Linked DNA regions of Alligator mississippiensis. The protein of the gene in region 2 interacts with the protein of the main gene of each other region in a biochemical or structural test. Links are inferred from orthologs where the notes say so. Each region holds a gene or a part of one and is shown on either strand. Other genes may lie near its edges. The genes, in order: small ubiquitin-related modifier 3 and PIAS2.

Region 1 (7,255 bases), on a different chromosome or scaffold from region 2:
GGGAACTTACAAAACAACTTTCATAGAAGAGCCTATGAACCCCACTTCATAAATCTACTGGATACAAAAAAAATCATGGACTCAATACAGACACTGGATTCATGACGCATTACAACCTGCCTGATATCTGACTCACCTGGTACCTGCCTGACCTGACCCTTTACATTCTTCCTTCCCTTACTTTGCTGCCTTTGTCTTCCTGATTTCCAACTATTTCCCTTTTCATTGACAGCCTCTTCCTTACCTTGTATTATTACCACTGTAGTGTTTTCCTTTGGCCTTTCCCCCCCTCCCTTCCCTGCTTTACCTTTTGTTTTCCAATTTTACCTAGTTATATTTTCACTGACTTCCTGTTATACTTTTAGTTTCTCTCCTATTTCCCTGGTCTTCAACTATTTCCTTTTTCACTAGAAACATTCACTTGAGTTACCAGCACAGGACAAAGTCAGTGAATAAGTCTCAGCCCAGACCAACAATTCAGGTTACTTCCTCTGCCATTACAAACGTGGGATTTTACTCTTTCTTGAAAAAGGCACAGTCATCCCAGGGCCCACCTTGCCAGGTGCAACCTGCTCAAAATTCTTGCAAGATGAACCCAAGGCATGCAGCAGTCTTTTCTAAAATTCTCTCTAGATGATGACTGCAGATAGAATAACCCAATCCAGACTTGAAGAAAATGATCAGAAGCACAGCACAACAGCTGTACTTGTAGAGCTTAATAAAGCCAATCCAGTGCTCCTGGGTCCTCTTGGTTCCTCCAGTTTAGGAAGTCTTTCTTCCCCCATGGATGGAGCAAGGACGGATGAAGATTTTGGGAAATGAAAGTTCAAAAGCTCACAGAATCCGGGCTTTTGATACTTGCATATCGTCCTACACAAGGACTTTAAGTCCGCAATCTCCACTTGTACGACTGCATCACCTGCTCTGTGCACGTAAGTAGACTGGCCAAAAAGAATCAAGAAAAAAAACCCTACTCTCTGTGAAGTCCAGCCTGTTTATAATATGTATATTAACAAGTTCCTGACCAAGGCCTCTTCACTGCAACATTCTAGCTTATTAAAGCATACGAGTCTGCAAGCAATAGATGGATGTTTTTATTAAAGTTCCCTTTGGTGGCATTATTTTTCAGGTGACCTCCAACAAAAAAAGCACTAAAGAATTCTTCAGACAATGAGTTCTCCGACAGGGATTCAAAGGCAAGTTTCAACCACCAGAGCTTCCAAAAGGATGCTACCAAACAAAGGGCATCCTCTATCATTACGTTTTGGCTGGGATTAAGGCAGAAGAAAGAGGGGAGGTTTAAAAAAAAAAAAAAAAAAGAACAATGTACTTTCTCAGGGGGGAAAGGGAGAGAGTATGTGGATGTCCTGAAAAAAACAAATCTCCCCATCCCTCCCAGAGGGAGAATAAACTGCGGGAAGGGAGGAGGGGAATTATTTTCTTTTATGGAAGTATTCAATTCACTCCCCAGTTCTCCTCAGTCACTGGGTAGTGAAAAGGCTGTATGGAGACGGATTGCTTTTGAATTTGGGGGAGGGGATTATTTTGTTGTGTTCATATTTTAATGCGTTTCTTCGCTTGTAAGTTGCCCTGAGCCCTTATGTGGAGGGTGGGTAAGAAAGAAAGGAAGTGCTATGCCTGAGTTGTGGCCTTGTTGGCTAGGACTTGTCCACGTTAGGCCGTACTGCACTGTGGCCAGCCAGCAAGAGGCTTTCCTACACCTTGCTGAGCTGCAGCACATGCAAGGAAAAGCAGTGGCAGAGCACAGGTGGCTGCCGGGGTGGTGGCCTGGTCCTAGCACCAGCCCATCTCATCTCAGAGCCAAGCTGGGCCATTCTGGCTCCCTGCCACAAACCCCTGCCGACACTGGCTTAAACTTTTCATCCTTTTCACTCCACCAAATGTAAGTTACTGTTAGACTGTTTTCTTTTACAGATGAGGACACCTCATCAGCCAAGTGCCCAGCGAAGGAAGAAATGACGGTTCAAAGTGGGCTCTCAGAAGGAATGATGAAGGTTTCAGGATGGGGCAGAGCCCCTCCATCACCCCAACAAGGAGCACTGCCGGGCACGATACCACGCACCACCTACTTAAGAACAACTGTTCGGATAGTAACACGCACGGTCTGCAGCATCAAGTTCGGGGATCTCTGCAGATCACAACAGCAGGAAGATTTAACCTAACCCTGGAAAGGCGGGAGCCCCATCCCTTGCTCTTCTCATTCAAGAGTAAGCTTTCTGAAAGATGACACCTGCTCCATTGATCTCCACGAGGTCCACCGCCAAGTACCATTTAATTCAACTCAAGAGTGCTACCTCGGCAGCCCCCTGATGCCAGCTTCGAGCAATGCCCCCTGGCCTCCACGGACTCCTCTAATTCGCACAGAACTGAAGGTTTCAGGGTTAGTCTGAGGCAAAGCAGCACCAACAGCCATCACTGCATGGGAGACCCATAACGAAGACTCAAGCCTGACACCGTGCAGCTGCTCATCCCTCAAGGCTGACCCGGGCTCTGCAGGACCACGAGTGTTGGTGCCCTAGAGCAGCAGGGCAGGAAGGGAGCTGCACGGGCCATCTCCAATTGCCCGGGGGAGGCAGCCAGGAGCCCCCCCCCGAGCTGCGGAGCCGGGCCCGTGACTGCGAGGTCGGGACACCTGCTCCTGCGCGCGCTTCCCGCGCCCGCTGCCCCGCGGGGCTCCGGCTCCTGCGGCCTGGGCGGGCCGGGGGCCGCGGACGCAGAGGGGAGCGAAGCGGCCGGCCCGGCCCAAAGGCCCTAACGGCCCCAACGGCCGTTCGAACGCGGCGCCGCCCCGCCCCGCCCCCCGCGGCCCGGCGGGACCCGCCTCCCGGGTGGGCCCGCGCGGCCCCGGGGCAGGGAGGAGCCGGGGCCGCCCGCGCCGTTACCTTGGGCTTCTCCTCGGCCATGGCGCCGGCGCTGAGGGGGGCGATGGCGCTCGCGGCTCCCGCTTCTCTCCCGCCGCAGCCGCTGGCGAGAGCGCGCGTCACCCCTCCCCCACACCCAAATCCCCGGGCCCTGATTGGAGCCGGCGGGGCCACGTGGGGTCGGGGCGCGCTCACGAGGCGCGCTCGCGAGCCAGCTGCCCGGCGGGAGCGCGCCCGGGCGGGGGCGGGGGCAGGGGCAGGTAGCGCGGGGAAGTGCGTCAGCGCGGGGCCGGAAGCGGCGCTGCGGCGGCCGGCGCAGCTGGGTGGGGGAGGGGCGGCAACTGGCACGTCCCCTCCCCCCACCGCGGCCTTTCCGGCGCGCGTGTATCTGCCACTTCCTCCCCGGTAGGGCCTGGTGGCCTCAACCCGTACGAGCTAGGCACCGAGCTGGCCTGCAGGGCGGCACCAGCGCGCGCCGGGCAGGCTCATGGCGGGCACGCGGCACCTCGCGTAGCCCGGAGTTGTCGCAGCCTGCAGGGGCCCTTTCAGTCTTGCACGCGGCGGACGCGGTGTGTTGCGCCTGCGGGCAGAGTCGGGGCAGCCGCTGGGTGCTGTTAAGACTCCCCTGTTGTGTGTGCGTCACACCTAAAGGCCTAGATCCCCGTCGGCCAGCATGGCCCTCTGCCCCACTGCCGCTGGTCCTAAACGCAGATGAGGCCTTCCAAAAGTCCCATCAGTGCCAGAGCCCCGATGCTGACACCTGAGCTGCTGGCTCCTACCATAAGCTTGCAGGGAGCATCTGGCTAACGAGGCTTCTGATCTCAGCCTGCACCCTCAGTTCTTGGCCGTCTGCTTTTCTGGCTCATGCTTGCAGATGCCACTCTAATGGTCTGGTTTCCGTGGCTCGGCTTGCTCGTGGACTTTTCTCTCCTTTTAATTTCCTGGCTTGCCTCTGTGTTCTGCTTGCCCTCTCCCACTTTCCTATGCGCCCACTTATGGTAACCTTGATCTCCAGTCGGTCTCCAGGTCTAGTCACCCGTGACCTGATGCTGCCAATCTGCCTGGACTACTCTTTGGCGAAGAGGGCCTGTTATGGATGCTTCTCCCCTGGTGGTGCTCTCAGACCCACCTGCTTTAGATGCCAATTCTCCAGGAGACCTACAGGCCATGCAGAAGTGGCTGATTCAGCTTGCCTCTATCTGACAAGCCTTGGAGCTTCACTTGCTGCAGTTGACTACTGCACACCAGACCCTTCAATCCCCAGTTGCCTGTCTTCAGGAGAGCTCCTGGTTGGAGGAAACGTGGCAGCTGAGAGAAGAGCGCGCATTCTGGGCCCACCTGGAACCCTGAGCTTGAGACCGTTACCCAAAAGGTACGATGTGAACCAGCAGCATTTCTTGGGATTCCTCGATCAATGCTGTCTCTTATTTCTGGCACAGCCCAGAGCTTATTCTAGTGACCAAGCAAAAGTGAACCTTGTGATAGACCTCCTGTTGAGGGAAGCCTTGGTCCAGGTCTCCCTGTTCCTGGAGCATAGCAGCCCAGTCCTCTAGAACTGGGAGGCATTTCTCCAAGCCATTGCAGCTATGTACAACGGTGAGCCCCACTGGGGCTGTACAGCAGAGTCTGCATTGTGGAACTTCTACAAGGAGTAGAGTGCAGCTGCTGATGATGCTTTTCTGTTCTAGCGCTACGTGGCAGACACCAACTGCAACAGCAGCTGAATTCTACTAATTCTGATAGGGTCCATGAGAAGAGGTAAAGGCTGACCTTGCCTAGGGGAAGTGCCCTCCAAACCTCGTGACTTTGTGGATTTAGTGATCTGCATTCTCAGTCTTGCACTCTACAGAAAAGGAAAGAAGAAAAGAGGTACTCTTTGTCTTCTCCTTGTCCCCGTCCTCTGCTCTTAAACCTGTGCTGGTAGATGGGGGAGGACTGCCACCTTACCCTGAGCAAGTGGGAATGACACTGCCAGCACAATTTGTGCTTCTATTGTGGGACATCAGGACATGTGCTTGCCTACTGCCCTACAAGAAGGGAAACATGCCTCCACCTCCTCTCACTCAGCCCTGCAAGGGGTATTGACTTGGGGTCAGCAATAAAGGTGAAACCTGTAGCCAAATCAAACTGCAGACCTTTCAGATAAGGTTACCTGTTCACCTGCAGATCACAGGCTGAGCCTGTTTTACAGCTGGTATTATCTACCCTACCGGACTTCGGGGCAACTAGAAATGTCATTAATGAAACCATTGTCCAAGCCTTACGTATCCCTTCATAACAGCTCAGGCTGGGAATAGTTGAGACCATTTCTAGCTCCCCTCTTTCATCAGGCTCCTTGGAGTTGGAAACCCTCACCCTTGATGTGGAAATCTGCAAACACAGGGAAACTTTGCTTTGGGGCAGTCTGATCCCACATTACTCCCTGATCCTGAGATCCTTCTGGCTTGCCTGTTATGGTCCCCTGGTCCAGTGGAAAAGCTATGAGGTGTTTTACATCCAGTTTTTGCAGGAAACACTTAAAAGCCTTGGATGGTTGACCCACCCTATGATTTCAGGCTAGAATCCTAACAGATAGCAAGGTAGATTTGAACCTTAAAATAAATACATTTCTATAATATAGCATAAGCTTACATGAGTTGGTTTATGCATATATATATTCTCAGTATAGTTAGTCCTTTAAGGATTCTGCTTGACTTCAGACTAACACAGCTAACTATGTATCCCAACAGATACTGTCCTACAAGGAGCTCTGTCTCTTGCAGCAAGATCTGACCTACCCCAACATTATGCAGCTGTTTTTGATTAAAAACCTGCTGAAGTTCCTCCTCCCTCCCACACTGTGTCTACAACTGCACCATTGTCTTACAGCCTAGGATCTCAGTGGACCACTCTACACTATGTCTGAGCAGGAACTAGCTGCCCTCTGAGAGTACCTTCAGGCATGGGCAGATCTAGGATTTTGAAAAGGGGTGCAGATGGTGTGACTGATTAGCATGTATAATGCAACACACATTTTTCTCCAGTTAAAGAGGAATTAGATGCTTTACTAATATACTAAAGGGCTAGCAGTATATTATTTAGTTTAAGGCCAAAGCAAAAACAAATAAAACTATTAGACTGCACTGATTTGCTAGATTCTGTATAAAGTTTTAAAAGATACCACAAACTAGGTAAAAAATAGTCAAAAGATATTATTTCATTAGCCCTTTAGTCATTGCAGTTAAATATACATTTCTTACTCAGTTTTGTAAACCAAAGCTAGCCTTCTTGAGTGGCCTGCCAGTGCCTCCAATACTTTACTGTCAGTCATTTCCTTATTAACCTGAATTAATATTACCACACCTGAGTTAAGGTTTTTAGCTAGAATTTGGGTGGAGCAGGAATGAAAGAGGGGTGCAACTGTATCACTTTGTCGCCCCCACCCCACCCCACCCCACCCCCGGATCTGCCCCCGCCTTCAGGAGAGCCCGGCCTGGGAGTTTATAAGAAAATACATATCTCTTGCCAGGGTCCCTATCTTGTTCATCAGAAAGGACAGGAGCCTCTGCCTCATTGTAGACTATCAGGCCCTGGAAAATCACCACCCAAAATCAGTACTGTCCCTACCTCTAAACCAGGGGTGGGCAAAATGCGGCCCGGGGACCAGATTCAGCCTGCCATTCTATCCAGCCCGTGGGGCCCCTAAAAAATTTAGAAAATTAATATTTATTTGCCCTGGGCTGCCTGTCATGCAGCCCTCAATGGCTTGCCAAAACTCAGTAAGCAGCCCTCTGCCCAAAATAATCGCCTGCCCTTGCTCTAAATCCTGAGCTACCAGATTGCTTAAAGGCTGCTTGCATAGTCACTAAATGTGATTGCAGTGGAGCATATAGCCTGGTAAGAATAAGAGATGGTGACAAATGGAAAATAGCTTTCTAAATTACAGTGTAAGCCTTACTGGCCTAATGGATAAGGCACTGGTCTCCTAAGCCAAGGACTGTGGGTTTAAGTTCCACCTGGGGTGAAATATGCATGTATGTGTTATAGGCTTACAGAAGGTAGGCTTCTGAGTGGGTGGATCTTGTTGTATCAACCTCATCTCCTTTTATAATCAGGTAACTCACCCCTGGATAAGAGAGAGGAGGTTGATACTGTCTGTATACCTTGACTTCCAAAAATCTTGATCTGGTATCCTATGATGTTCTCACGAGAAAATTGGAGGATTGCGGGCTTAACTGCAAGAAAGGTGGGTAAAAGCTGGCTGTGGGGCAGGACCCAGAGATCCTAATGAACAGATTTGTGTCATCTTGGCAAGAAGTGGCCAGTGGGGTCCCATAGGGGTCGATGCTTGTTCCAGTAGCATTCAATATCTTCATCATTAGTGAAGAGCTCAC
Region 2 (7,415 bases):
ATAATAGTAGAACAATAGAAAACAATTGCAACTTTCAGGCCCCCTTTCTGTCCTGGCTGCAGGCAGCCGCCTGGCGTGTCCGGCCCTGGTACCAACCTATTGTTGAGCCTGGGCGAGCGCTTCGATTACGGAGCAGCAGGTCGGAGGGCAGGGGATGATAGGGTCATCTTATAAAGGAAACCGTGACCACGTCTGCATGTTATACGGAGCCTGATCGGTCAGGCTCTCTCCAAAGGACCAAAATGGGGCCCTTAGGGAAAGCGAGGTGGGGGATTACCAGTTCCTGCACCCCAACCTGGTTTAGGTTGGAGACGGCTGTCAAACTTCTCTCAGCCCTGAGGTTTTTGTAGGCCCGCACCAAAGCGGAGCCGTGACAAAGACGAGGGTTGCTAGCCCTCCAAGACTGCCCTGGAACCCCCAGGAATTGGATCTACGCCTCCAGGAGACTGCTGGGAGTCACCCAGGAAATAAGTGATAGGGCATTCATTAAAATTAATATTAAAAGTTGAATCTGATTTATACAGTAGCCCAGTGGGTTTCTAAAGCGTAACAGTAGTGTGCATTTCCCTTCCTGACCAAGTCTATACACCGTAATCCGTAACATATATGCAAGCAGGCACGTTCGCGTCATCTCTTTAGTTGACTAACTACATACACTGCGTAGTGTATTAATGTCGGTACGTCGTGTGATGAAACCTCCTGGAATAGAGTCAAACAGAGTTGGCAATGCTATCAAAGACCAAGGCACCTACAGAACGCAAGTGTCTCTGGGTTTAGGCAGAAACAGAGTAGAGGTTTCCAGGACAGTAATTGCAGTCTTAAATGCAATTCAGGTGCTCATGTTCAACTGCAAGGAGAAATGTTATTTTCAGGATCTGGACCTACATAACTGCCCACGGTCTCAGGAAGGCAGTGCCAGAGCTGGTGTTAGACGGGGGGGGGGGGGGGGGGAAGAAAAAAAAAAAAAAGACATTATTATTTCATATAGCACTGTGTCTTTCAACTGATGCATAGTTGTTTTTCAACCAAGTAATAATATTTCATTAATGTGAGAAGATAAAACAGCAAACATCCCTGCTTCCATGGTTGGAGTGTAATATTTAAAAGCTGGACTTATCAAACAATGCTACAGCAATCTTCGTTTTATCTATTTAACCAGGTGCATTTTCACTGCAGAACAAATAATGATAGTGTCACACGTTTTATTAATAAAAAATGAAGCAAAAATGTCACTGGAGGTAAACTTTAAAACTAGATAATGGGTTTCATGCTGCAAGGGAAATGCTGAGACATTTACAGAAAAAAAACAAATGTTGAGGTGGAAAAAAAACAAATGTGGAAGTGCAGCTGAGAAGTGTATTTTCAAAAGCAGCCAGAGGTAATTACCTAGTCACAACATTCACTTTCATTGCCAATAGTGCTGTTAAACCAAACAACCAATTTATTAAAATAGGAAGCAAAGACAGATCCCACAAACAGCTAACAGGCAAATTATCCAGCCATGCATAACAATCTACCAGGACATCAGCCGCCTTCCTGATCCATCACTCCAGGCCAGCCTTGCAGGTAGGCAGGCATGGTTGGAGGGGAGCCTCACATACACGTAAGTGAGCAGCTCATGTTCAGAGCAGGGCTCTCCCCCTACCCCACCCAATTCCTGTTCCAGGCAGGAGGAGCACTGCCCAGCCCAGCCTACCACCTGTCTCCAGTCACTGCTCAGAAGAAGCCAAGCTAGGCATGTGCCAGTGGGATGGCACCTGCTTTGCTCCCAGGTGGTAGCCACAGTACACTAATTGCCTGATGCACCATGCCACTCTGCCTCCCTGCCAGACTGCACCCCACACCCTTGCCCTTTTGCCTCTGCCTGCAGCAGCACCACCGACTAGGGGGCAGAAGCTGGGGAAATACAAGCTTGCCTAGAGCACCATATTCCCCAAGGCCAGCCCTGTATCACTCCCACGCTCCAGAACTTTAAATATGCTCACCTCATATGTTGGGTTTTTTGGCAGCTTCTTCCATTTCTTCTTGTGGATTCTCCTCCTCCTGTAGGTCTTGCGTGCACCCCGAGGAACATCTCTTACATGGTTGACCCTCTCTGTTTTCATAGACCTTGCAATGAAGGGTTCACAGCAGGAGGAGAAAGGTGCCAGCACCCAAGAACTCTCTCATTTTGAGGTAGCCACTTAGTGCCCTTTACTGACAGATGGGCAACACCTGCAGAATTGGTTTTTTTTGTGTTTTTTTTTTAGTACAACTTTTTCAAAGCAAAAAGCTGAGCTTATTTAAGCAGTGTGCCTGTAGAAGTAGGCTTGTTACCAGAAAAATGCTAGTTTCCTTAAGTCTCTAATAATTTAAGGCAGCACTCAACCTTTTTATTTATTTATTCATTTTTTAAACAGTGCCCTTCATTAGACTCCAGGCACTCATCAGAAAGTGCCAGCTCTTAGTTTTCACTTGTTTTTTGACTATAGAAAAAAGACTATTTGTCTACTGTAAAGGGCTCAAAAAATCTCACAACAGGTCAGACTTTTTTTTAACACTGGATTTCTGTTTGAAGTCTCTGTGTTTATATTGTGAAGCATAATTGCACATCTAATAGTGCTAACATTGCATGGTACTTCACAGCAACCTTGAAAGCATCTCAAAGCACCCTGGGCTGCTGCAATACCCTGGTTGAGAATTGCTGTTCTAAGAACTTAAGCCATATCTGCGTGTATACTGTGGACTGTTCCACAGCCTTATTGTCAAAGAAAACCCTGATATGTAACAGTATAAATAAGCCTTGTGTAATGCCTACAAACCAGGGTCAAAACCTTATCTCAGATCATCAGAAACAACAAGATGCATTAGTCTAAAGCAACAGCTTTCAAACTTTTTTTAGGTCCCCTCCATAACCTTTGTGAACTGAGCAGCACCCCTTCTCAATAACTAGCTTATCACAGCTTACCTCCTTGCAGAGGGACCAAGAGCACAGGCTAGGAAGTGGCAAAATAGAAGGGCTCTGAGCCTGCCCTTATCTACTTTTCTCTTCACACCTGAAGCCTGATCCTGCCCTTATTTGCTTATCTTCTCACACCTGCAGCATCTATCAAAGGACTTTGTAGTATTGTGGTTGAAAATCACTAGTCTGAAGTTAGACAGAAGATAGGACAAGGTGGCACTTTAGAAACAAACTGATTGAGAGAGGCATGAATTTTGTAAGCAATAACCTACCTAATCAGATGCTAGGAATACCCTTGTGCCTATCTGATGAAGTAGGTTGTTGCCTACAAAAGCTCATACTTCTGAGGCATTTTGAGTGCTTTGTAGTCCCATGTTCTACCCAGATAGTCAAAACTCTATAGCTGGTCCTAGCATTTCAACAAATTAGATTCCTCCATGATCCCATTTTGGCTTCTTCAGATTAACTAGTGTATGGAGGATGAATGTTAACAAGCAGCCATGGCGGCTAAATGGAGCACTCAAACGGGGGAGTTCATATGTGCTGTTTAACATAAAGGCTTGAAGCTGCAAGCTCTGGGTCAGATCTTCATTACCTTGCAGAGCCATTGAAACAATGAAAGTGAGAGGAGAATTGTAATGAGGTAGCTCTTAACACCCACTTTAGTCAGTATTAGAACCAGGTTTTTAAAAGTACTTGGGCATCTAACCGCCATTGATTCCAAATAGTACCTTTGAACATCAAAGTCTTAATTATTGCACAAGGTGTTATGCCATGGGTAATCTGGCTCATGGGTTATATTGTCAGTTTGTGCTTTGGCTGAAACAAATTTTGTTTCTGTTATTTGTAGCAGAAGAAAGCTTTTGATTTTTGTTGGATATACATTCATTTGCAAAGATGCCTTATTCCTGGCATGACAGACCCTTGTGCCGAGTAGAACAGCAACACTTGGACATGGAAAAGAAATATAAGGGGATGGACCTGCATTAAGTTGAAATCAAAGGGTAGTAGCTGTTACCTTCTAATTATTACCTGTGGAAAAGCTAAGAACAATACTGAATCTGTCCAATGCCTATTTTGTACTCTGCTGTGCTTTGATAATGAAATAGAATAGAATAATTTTACTTTCCTGTCCCCATGAACCAGCGCACAGCTGCAAAGTTTTGGGTGCAAACAGCAAGAGAATATTTAAATCTAAGTAATAATATGGTTTAGCTGGTGATTACTAATTGTACACAAACCATTCTTTTAAACAGCTTGGTTTGTTTTCTCTAACGCAACCTGGATTTAAGGCCAAAGGAAGACATACCTATTTATTCAATTTATCCAATAAAACATATATATGTGTAATCTGGGCCAAGTTAAGTTACTGTTGAGTATTAAACTTTTGTCTTGTGTTTGATTTTAATCTTTAAACCTTCACATTGATGCACACTAGGTAATAAGTCTGTTGCCTTTTTCATTGTCTCTAGTGGGTTATGGAATAGAGAAAATCCCACACAATTTACTGATTCGTTTTGATGCACTGGCTGGGGGAGTAGTTAACTGATTGCACGATTTCACAATGTTTACACACTTAATTTATACAACACAGTTTTATTTTAAAACTCTTTGCTACGTATATAACACTGCTTGGCTTTAAGAAACACCACAAACATTAAAAACACAATAATTACATATATCAGAAACAATGCTCCGAATGCACTTCCTTCCCAAACAATACTATAAGAATTAGTGTTACAAAAACAACTACAATTACAACTAAAAGTTAAATTTGAATCAATACTATTATTTTTCATATTATACTTACAATCCTAGAATTCCGAGAAGCCAAATACCAAAATATGGTTTCATTCCTCAGTAGTACGATTTAATGGGTTGGCCTCAGTAGTACGGTTCAATGGAATGGGCTCGCCTCAGCAATACAATTCAATAGGCTGGCCTCAATACTGATAGGACTAAGTCCCCTTCTTTCAGTCCTTTTTGGGTGCTCTGCAGCTTTAGCGTGAACTAAGAGATTCGTGTTCACGGAGAGGTTAGTTCAGGTGATCAGTCTGACCCGGGCTACACTTGCGATTCTTCCTTCATTGTTCTACAAGTATAGTCACCTCCAAATTGGGACAGTAAGTTACAGTTTTTATTGAGTGAGGTGCCATCAGTGGGCTCCTCCTACTCAATCTGTCATTACCCCCAAATTTGGGCTCGGATCTTACTCAGCAGATTCTTTTGCCTTTGTTGAGCATTTTAAATTACCTTTGGGAAACTTCCATATCACTGCAAATGCCCTTTTCTTACCAATCTGGTCAAAAGGCCTTAGGGTTTGATCTCTCGGAATTCAGGATATTTGCTCTCTTTGTAAAAGACTTCTAAAAGATTCAAATTAAGACTTTAAGCAAAGTCAGGACCTTTTGCACGTAGTCCCAAAACAATTAACTAGATAAGGAGATAAATCTTATCTTCTTCCTGAAACTGGCTAATGGGCAACCTTTACAAACATTCAAACTATTTCTTTCAATATGACATTCATATGTACACAGCTGTTTAATGGTAAATAGAAATTTCTTTGCTTAATATTAGTGTTTATGAGGTCCTAATTAAGCTTCCAAGTTCACTTTACTTGAACTTAGATGAGAGAACATGTTGACTTGAGTGGAATCATATTTTTAACCAGTTAACTGGTTAAACTGCTTTGTACTTGTGGCTGGTCCACTCTATTTGCTTGAATTGAGTTACATTTTTCCTATGGCTACATTAACGAGGCAGCAATACATTAATGTGCTGTTTACCTTTTCTTCTCATGAGGAAAAAAATAGAAGTTTAAATCAAACATACGTGTGCTTGCTTAAACTAAGCAGTTCTCTTAAAGCCGATGGGGCTGTTCTTGTGTTTGAGTACATGTACATGTGTCTGCTCGAATCAGGCAGCCAGGGTTCTTCGGGTAAATCCAATCTCTTTTATTAGACCAACTCAAATGCTTGAATTTAATAGTTTAAAGAAATCAGAATTTGTAGAATAAAATGAAAATTGTTGAAGACTAAAAGAGTTGCTTGGCTGACTCCAGATTTATTTTTTTAGGGGAGGGAAAGTATGGGTTGCTGGAGAGCACTTAGCAGTATATTTTAAACTGCACATAATATTACCTAGTAGCAACAGAAAGAAAGTCTGTCTAGAAAGAAGAAAATGCTGTGGTTTTACAACATTGGCCTTATCAGGCCCTGCTGATGACCACAAACTAACTTGAATGCTCTCTGATTTCCTTTCCAAGAGGTTTACTTCTTGGTTGCCTATATAGGATTCAAATCTTTATTAACATATTTGCTTTTACATGGTGCTGAGACCCTGCTCAGTGCATACTACTTACACATTCAAAATTGCAAACTGCAAAATGTCATGTTGCCAGATGTAGCTCAACCAAAAGGACTGCATTATTTTTCATGGGAAGTAGATCTAGATTCCCCCAACCTTTGGGCTGAGACCCACTATGAACCGTTCCAGCCCCAAAGCAAACTTTTTTCAGAAATGAACAAGCATCTGCAAATGTGAAGACCTGACATCATCTTGCAATTGTATGAACAGGTTTTGAACCTTCCTTTTTTTTATTTTTAAAGGCTTAGAAACACCTGCTGTTGTCTCAGGCGCTTCCTTCTGTAATGGGGAAGCCAAACAGGTTGATCAAGACCGACTTCGCCCTCAGTCCACCCAGCAGCATTGTATTGCTGGATGCAAAATAAGAGACCTGAAGGCAGGAGCCATGACGTCACCTATCACCTCCGCGCATGCGCAAACTTAAAGTCCTTGGCACGCGCGCAACGTCGCTTGCCTTCGCCGGTCTCTCTTCCTCCTCCTGATTGGTCCGTTCAGCACCCCGTCTCCCCTAAATGCTGATTGGTTAAATTCTTCCAGCACGCCGCTTTTTTTTTTTTTTCCTTTGGCGGCCTACGATTGGACGCCTCTTCCGACAGTCCCCCGTTCTGTTTAGTCAGTGCTGCAGTCAAGTCCCACCCCCCACGCTCTGATTGGTCAGCGGCATACACCCGTCCCCGCCCATCTCCCCCTCAACAGTGAGGGTAGCGAATGTGTCCGCGGCTCGTACCCGTCAACCCGCGGCGGAGCGGTACCTCCCCGCCATGGAGCTGTCGTACCAGACCCTGAAAGCCGCCTACCAGGTCAAGGAGGCGGTGAGTGCGCGCGCGGGGGGGAGGAGCTAACTGTGCTTCCCCGTCACTATGGAGACAGGCGGGCTATTCGTGTGCGCATGCGCAGGGGTGGTGGCTGCAGTGCGCGTGCGCGGAGCTGCTCCCCTTTCCCTAGTTCTCTTCAGGGGGCGCTGCTGGCTGCGCTCTGCCGCCCCCTGCTGGGCGCCCGGCAGTGCAGCAGCAGGATCCCCCTAGTGTGTGGCTGGCAGAAGGGGGCTGTTCTGGGCACAGGGTGCCAGAGGTCTGTGGCCATTGCTCTTGGACCCACTACACGGCTG

The links.
Region 1: the proteins of PIAS2 (region 2) and small ubiquitin-related modifier 3 form a complex in vitro, tested with the Homo sapiens proteins (2 studies listed by BioGRID, with this or other methods). The link is inferred for Alligator mississippiensis from reciprocal best matches to the Homo sapiens genes PIAS2 and SUMO3.

The regions. Positions count from the first base shown.
Region 1 is NC_081830.1:33,436,045-33,443,299, forward strand, and holds the start of small ubiquitin-related modifier 3, read right to left. Parts: upstream 3,019-7,255; 5' UTR 2,925-3,018; coding exon 2,904-2,924; intron 1-2,903. UniProt on the Homo sapiens protein: Ubiquitin-like protein which can be covalently attached to target lysines either as a monomer or as a lysine-linked polymer. Does not seem to be involved in protein degradation and may function as an antagonist of ubiquitin in the degradation process.
Region 2 is NC_081826.1:290,937,124-290,944,538, reverse strand, and holds the start of PIAS2 (E3 SUMO-protein ligase PIAS2), read right to left. Parts: upstream 3,020-7,415; 5' UTR 2,948-3,019; intron 2,937-2,947; exon of another isoform or gene 2,215-2,936; 5' UTR 2,106-2,214; coding exon 1,986-2,105; intron 1-1,985. Other genes in the region: KATNAL2 (katanin p60 ATPase-containing subunit A-like 2), read left to right, coding at 7,069-7,119. UniProt on the Homo sapiens protein: Functions as an E3-type small ubiquitin-like modifier (SUMO) ligase, stabilizing the interaction between UBE2I and the substrate, and as a SUMO-tethering factor.